2 linked regions of the Danio rerio genome follow. The protein of the gene in region 2 interacts with the protein of the main gene of each other region in a pairwise test. Links are inferred from orthologs where the notes say so. Each region holds a gene or a part of one and is shown on either strand. Other genes may lie near its edges.

Evidence for each region.
Region 1: the proteins of jakmip2 (region 2) and zgc:103755 interact in binary tests that used the Homo sapiens proteins (3 or more experiments, as listed by UniProt). The two-hybrid records come from large-scale screens. The link is inferred for Danio rerio from reciprocal best matches to the Homo sapiens genes JAKMIP2 and CLIP4.

Annotation. Positions count from the first base shown.
Region 1 is NC_133192.1:53,008,688-53,012,528, reverse strand, and holds part of zgc:103755 (uncharacterized protein LOC449988), read right to left. Parts: intron 3,030-3,841; coding exon 2,890-3,029; intron 228-2,889; coding exon 134-227; intron 1-133.
Region 2 is NC_133196.1:46,819,201-46,823,512, forward strand, and holds the start of jakmip2 (janus kinase and microtubule-interacting protein 2), read right to left. Parts: upstream 3,022-4,312; 5' UTR 2,880-3,021; intron 1-2,879.

The sequences.
Region 1 (3,841 bases), on a different chromosome or scaffold from region 2:
AATTAATGAATGAATATTTGGACTAAAAACAAGACAAAAACTCTAAGACTTTTTGTTGGCAGTGTTTAAGAAAAGGTGTTAATTGAATAGATTTGTATTGATTTGTTTTATTTACATATAAATACATGCTCACCTATGCCAGGCGCTCCAGCCTTGCAGCAATAGTGAAGCAACGTCATGTCCGTAAGACCATCTCTGTCATTGACACCACATCCTCGCTTTAGAATCTATAGAACAAAGCAAATATCACTTCAATAGTTAAAGAACATTCAGCAAAAGATTTCATGCTGAAAGAGAGAAACACACAGTCTGCAGAAGTAATATTTCAGTACACAAAGCCCGACACTAAACGCAGTGTGGGGGAGTGTGTGGGTATGTTTTATGAGAGCTGTGAGAAAACATGAAATTAAAATTGACCCTGTTTACTTGGCTTTTTTAAGTATAATTCAACAGTCAATGTGTTTTTCACACAAATATATACAGTGAAAGTCAGAATTATTAGACCACCTGTATAATTTTTCCCCAATTTCTGTTTAACGGAGAGAAGATTTTTTTCAACACATTTCTGAACATATTAGTTTTAATAATTAATCTCTAATAACGGATTTATTTTATCTTTGCCATGACGAAAGTAAATAATATTTAATTATATTTTTATTTAAGGTACTAGTATTCAGATAAAAATTACATTTAAAGACTTAACCTGGTTAATTTGGCAAATTAGTGTAACAAGGAAAGTCATTGTATAATAATGGTTTGTTCTGTAGACTATAAATATATATATATATATATATATATATATATATATATATATATATATATATATATATATATATATATATATATATATATATGTGTGTGTGTGTGTGTGTGTGTGTGTGTGTGTGTGTGTGTGTGTGTGTGTGTGTATTACTTAAGGGGACTAATAGTTTGGACCTTAAAATAGCTTTAAAAAAACCTAAAAACTGCTTTTATTCTAGTGAAAATAAAACAAACAAGACTTTCTCCAGAACAAAAAATATTATCAGACATACTGTGGAAATTTCCTTGCTCTGTTAAACATCATTTGGGAAATATGAAAATAATAATAATAATAATAAAATAAGTAAAAATAACAATTCACAAAAGAGGTAATAATTCTGACTTCTACTGTATCTGTTTGACAATCTCTCATTAAATAAATTCAAATCAAATCAATTTGCATGTACTTTCTTTGACTCTAAAATCTTCTTCCCTGAAAAAATTACTGAACCAATTATTTATTTACTTATAGTGTTAAAAGATTCATTTAAGCAACAAAAAGGCTATAGCCAAACACATAGTTAATATAAACATAATATATGTTTTTATTTTATCCAAAATGGTTACATATTAACACTTATTAGAGTATACTGGAGTAAAAGACCTACCATGGTTAAAAGCAAGTTTTCGTATTTATGTGTTTTTCTCTTTTTATCCACTAGATGTCACAAAAACCCATCATACGTTTTAAAAATATTCACAGTTTATCCTCCTGGAAAAGTACAAATGAAAATATGAAGTACAAATGCTTAATAATAACAAATCTAAATCAATTAATCTTTTTTTTTTTTTTTGTCTTTGCCATGATGACAGTACATAATATTTTACTAATAAGTTTACAATGTAAAAAAATAATAATCTTAAGGTGAGTAAAATAATGGAATTATTGGAATTAGTTTTATTATATACACATATATATGCACTCACTCTATTAGATACTACCCGCTTGGACCCCCTTTTGCCTTCAGAACTGCCTTAATTCTCCGTGGCATAGATTCAACAAGGTACTGGAAATATTCCTCAAAGATTTTGCTCCAAATTGACATGATAGCATCATGTAGTTGCTGCTGATTTGCTGGCTGCACATCCATGATGCCAATCTCCTACCACATTCAAAAAGGTGCTCTATTGGCATTTGAGTACAGTGAACACATTGTCATATTTAAGAAACCAGTCTAAGAAGATTTGAGCTTTATGACATGGCGTTTTATCCTGTTGGAAATAACCATCAGAAGATAGTCCCTGTGGTCATAAAGGGACGGACATGGTCAGCAACAATACTCATCATTTGCCAAGAAAATATCCTCCACACCACCACCAGCCTGAACCATTGATACAAGGCAAGATGGATCCATGCTTTCATGTTGTTGATTCCAAATTCTGACCCTACCATCTGAATGTCTCAGCAGAAATGGAGACTCATCAGACCAGGCAACATTTTTCCAATCTTCTGCTGCTGTGGCCTATCCGCCTCAAGGTTGGACGTGTTGTGCATTCAGAGAAGCTCTTCTGCATACAGTTGTAACGAGTGGTTATTTGAGTTACTGTTGGCCATTCTCCTCTGACCTTCGGCATCAACAAGGAATTTGCATCCACAGAACTGCCACTCATTGCATATTTTATATATATATATTTTAAACATTCTCTGTAAACCCTAGAGATGGTTGTGTGTGAAAATCCCAGTAGATCAGCAGTTTCTGAAATTTTCACACCAGCCCGTCTGGCACCAGAAATAACGACACGTTCAAAGTCACTTAAATCACCTTTCTTCCCCATTCTGATGCTTGCTTTGAATTGCAGCAGATCGTCTTGACCATGTCTACATGCCTAAATACATTGAATTGCTGCCATGTTGGCTGATTAGAAATTTGCAATAACGAGCAGTTGGACAGGTGTACCTAATAAAGTGGCCAGTGGGAGTATTTTCATTTTCAACATTTCAATGCTTGTTTTTAATCAAGCTACTTTTTTGTGTGGTTTAGTTTTAGTTGACTACAGATGTTATAAGCACATATAATATTACATTTAAATGACTTTTTCATGTTTTGTTTCTCCTTTAAAATCACAAGACTTAAAAATAGTTCTGACCTCATTACCAATGATACTAATATTCCGCTGGACTTGGGGAACCCACTGCCTGAGGACGGCAAAGAGCTCTGGAACGGTGGTCTGGGGATCCTGCAGAACCTCCTGACACAGAGGATCATTCGGGTCAAAGAAAGAGAACTCTGGCAAAAAAAAAAAAAAAGAAAAAAGAAAAAAAAGAACAGTTTTAAATTATTATAACAGTATAAATGATTATTTTAAAAACCTATTAATTTAGATTCACCCATGCCGGGCCAGAACCCTGATCGCTCAAATGCAGTTAATCAGCTCAGTTTGATGTAAATTAAAAAGAAGTGTGAGAGTGAATGAGAAGCGAGTACAGAGAGAGAATGATGTATCAGGGCTGACAGGCAGAAAATTGGAAAAGAATCTCTATGACCTTGTCAATACTTCACTTTTACAGCAGTTTAAACAGGGTCCATGATTTACAGTCTGAAATGTTTTCCATAAATAAAGCTACACATCAGAATCTGCTAAGTAAGCTGTTTATTAGCCAGTAAGCGAGAAAACTGTAAATAAGTAAATAAATAAATAAAACAGCTGCAGGTTAAAATCTGAGATAAATAAAAGGAATGTCAGCATTTTTGCCGCGACCCACTTAAAGGGTCTTGAAAGCCCCCTTTTCAGTTCAAATCTATCTCAGAGTTTAAAAAAAGCTTAACTGGGCCAATCACAGCTTAAATTAGAGTCAATCGTGGTCAAAATAGGTAGGTTTGACACATAATGTTTGACCTACAGGGGTTGGACAATAAAACTGAAACACTGGTCAATGTAGTGTTGGAGGTTTCATGGCTAAACTTGAACTGACAGTTAAGACTAGCATCCTGATACATCTAAAACGGGTTATTTTAATTTTACAGGGAATTTAAAGCTAAAAGATGCTACCAGTGTCTTGATGTGCAATGGGGTAAGCAAAAAAAAAGCAAAAAGTTTT
Region 2 (4,312 bases):
AGGGAAGGGAAAACACATAATGAAAGTAACTGCATTATAAAGCATTTGACTGATGTGGTAACCTGGCTGAACTCTGAAATTATAAATTGTGCTCATTTTATATAGTAAAATATCCATCTGATTAGAGAGGACGAGCAGAGCGGAGCATGGTAATGGGATGATGATACAGTTGGTTTTCCCTTCAGCTGTTCTGGCCCATTTCCTGCCCGCATGAGGCAAACGTACAAACACAGTGGCATCATGACCCACTTTTACATTCATCCACTGACACCAAACTCCAGACAACACACACATAATCACTCAGGGTGACTACTATACATAGGTCAGTTCAACCCATGTAATGAAAAAAGAAAAAAAGCTGGGCAATGGTGTAATAAACACACACATACACACACACACACACACAAACAATTCTAAGGGTGCATTCTGCATCCGCAAAACATGCAACAGGACTCTCTCTCCCAGGTAATCCGTTCATGCAGGGTTTTTGGAGTTTTTGGTTGCCCGAAATAAATTCAAGTGAATATCTATTTTTTTGTTTCAATTATGTATAAATAAATAAATAAAAAGTAACAGCTAATATTATACGCTACATATATACTTTTGAAAAAACATAATTTTTAAATATTTATTTTATTTATGAATTATTTTTTATTTAATATATAAATATTTTATTTATTTATTTCATATTTAATTATTTATTTTATATTTATTTTATATATTTATTTACTTTAATATATATATATATATATATATATATATATATATATATATATATATATATAATTTATCTCGTTTTTATTCATTTAATATATATATATTTCTTTTTTCATTTTTATTTATTTATATATTTATTTACTTTATTTTTTACTTTATTACTTATATATATTTATTTATTTATTATATATATATATATATATATATATATATATATATATATATATATATATATATATATATATATCATTTTATTTAGTTTTTATTTATTTCATTTTTTTTATTTTCACCCTCAAGTGGTTCAAAATCTTTGAGTTTCTTTCTTCTGTTGAACACAAAAGAAGATATTTTGAAGAATGTTGAAAATCTGTGTTCATTGACATTGAAATTTTATGGAACTCAATGGTTACAGGTTTCAAACATTTTACTAAATATCTTCTTTTCTGTTCAACAGAAGACAGAAACTCATAAAGGTTTGAAACAAGAAAAGGATGAGTAGATGATGACAGTATTTTCATTTTTGTGTGAACTACGGATAAAGTACTATGGGAGTCAATGGATTACAGCTATTTTCAAAATAACCGTGTTGAACAGAAGATTATAAACTCAAACTGTGTACAATTTGAGCCTGAATAGCCTAAACAATGAACACATTTTCACTTTCGGGCAAACTATTTAGTCAAAGAGGTAGTTCACCCAAAAATTACATTACATTCCTTTTTTGTTGCACATGAAATGAATTTTTTAAAATACATTAGAAAACCTGTAACCATTAACTTCCAGAATGAGAAAAGCAAGTGCTATGAGTGTCAATGGTTTCCAGCTATTTTCTAAATAACTGTGTTTAATAGAAAAACATAAACTCAAACATGTCTGTGAACAAGTGGAGCTTGAATGGCCTAAATGACGACAGAATTTTCATTTTAGGGTAAACTTTTATTTAAGGGATAGTTCGCTCAAAAAATTTAATTTACTTACTACCCAGCAGGCACACAATGCCATGCTATAAGACCTTAATATTAAGTTAGATTTAGGTTGTGACATCAGGTACCCAAAATTTCTAGTCAGCGTCTAAGGACAACATTACTTTGATGTCCAATAATGAAGTCAAATGACGCGAATATTTGGTTGATTTAGGTTGTGTTCAGAAGTGACCAAAATCAAACGTCGAGCTAACATCTTAAACCGACGTCATATTGACATCAAATACTGACATTTATTCTTTGGGCATGGCAACCAAAATCCAACGATTGATAGACGTCATAGTGGTAACATCCACATAACGTAAAGCTGTAACTTCATTAGAAGTTGATATTTTGATGCTTTTAGGTTGGACATTGCCATGACGTTGGGTTTTGATCAAAGTCAACCCTTTACAAGTGGAGCTTGAATAGCCTAAACGATGAACAAATTTTCATTTTCGGGCAAACTTTTTCGTCAAAGAGGTAGTTCAACAAAAATTATATCCCATTCCCTTATTGTTGAACACAAAAATTATTTGAAATACGTTAGAAAACCTGTAACCGTTGACGTCCATCAATGGGAAAAGCAAGTAGTAAGTCAACGGTTACAATTTTCAAAATAACCGTGTTCAATGGAAACTCAAACATGTCCGGGACATAAGTGGAGCTTGAGTAGGCTAAATGATTACAGAATTTCCATTTTCGAGTGAACTAACCCCTTTAAGACAATTATTAACAATATCTTTTTTTATATTGAGTCACATTTGTGTTTTGACACCGTCGTCGCGTTCATGTGACAGTTCGCCTCAGGCCTGTCAAATGATCCTCCTGTGGTGAAATCTGTACGCTATTGAGCAGAATAAATGCAGACATGTACAGTGTGTGTATAAGTGTGTGTATAGTGTGTGTAAAGCACCGCATTAGTGTCTCCTCAGGCCTGCAGAGAGGCTGAATCACACGCAGGCCGAGCTCGCCCATTCACTGTCTTACACACATCCACACAAACACAGCACATCACACGAGCAAACACCATCATAAAACACAACCAATTCATACTTTCATAGCGTGGCCTAATTCCGTGTGTTTTCCAGCCATCTGCATCTGCTATAATCAGTATTTCTCCATCCATCTCAGCGACGGAGCGCTCGTCCAATTAAAACACCCGCGACTCAAAGACGCCAAGAATAAAGCTCTGCTTACCTAGAAAACAGTCCGCCACGATGCAACGCGGTCTGCAAAGCTTAAATCCGCGACCATGGTTTATATATATTTCTCAGCTCGACCTCTCAGCATCAGCAGCCGTACAATAAAACGACGAGCAGCTCAGATGATGCTGCGTAACACCGCCCTCCTGCCGCTGTCAGAGTGATGCTGCGTGGCTCCGCCTCCGGATGCTGCGTGTCCCCGCCTACTACCACTGTCATAATGACCTCATCACATTCACAGGTCACTCACTGCAGTCTTTCAGCAGAGAGGGAGATGATAGATAGATAGATAGATAGATAGATAGATAGATAGATAGATAGATAGATAGATAGATAGATAGATAGATAGATAGATAGATAGATAGATAGATAGATAGATAGATAGATAGATAGATAGATAGATAGATAGATAGATAGATAGATAGATAGATAGATAGATAGATAGATAGATTGATTGATGTATAGATAGATAGATAGATAGATAGATAGATAGATAGATAGATAGATAGAGTGATGGATAGATGGATGGATGGATGGATGGATGGATGGATGGATGGATGGATGGATGGATGGATGGATGGATGGATGGATGGATGGAAAGATTGATTGATGGATTGATAGATAGATAGATAGATGGATGGATGGATGGATGGATGGATGGAATGATAGATAGATAGATAGATAGATAGATAGATAGATAGACAGACAGACAGACAGACAGACAGACAGACAGACAGACAGACAGACAGACAGACAGACAGACAGACAGACAGACAGATAGATAGATAGATAGATAGATAGATAGATAGATAGATAGATAGATAGATAGATAGATAGATAGATAGATAGATAGATAGATAGATAGATAGATGGATGGATGGATGGATGGATGGATGGATGGATGGATGGATGGATGGATGGATGGATGGATGGAAAGATTGATAGATAGATAGATAGATAGATAGATAGATAGATAGATAGATAGATAGATAGATAGATAGATAGATGATAGATAGATGATAGATAGATGATAGATAGAGATAGATAGATAGATAGATAGATAGATAGATAGATAGATAGATAGATAGATAGATAGATAGATAGATAGATAGATAGATGATAGATAGATGGATGGATGGATGGATGGATGGATGGATGGATGGATGGATGGATGGATGGATGGATGGATGCATGGATGGATGGATGGATAGATAGTGGTAGTGGTGGACAAAATTATTGTTATTTTATTGTTAAGTGTGCAAAACAACATACGCTAAACACAGAAGACAAAAAGTACAAAAATGTGAATAGCAGGAATGTGGATGAAACAGCAATCTCAAGCAGAATAATATTGGTAATATCTGTGTTATTTAACGCTTATAATCAATAATAATATACACACTTTTTTCATAACATCACATTGTCTCT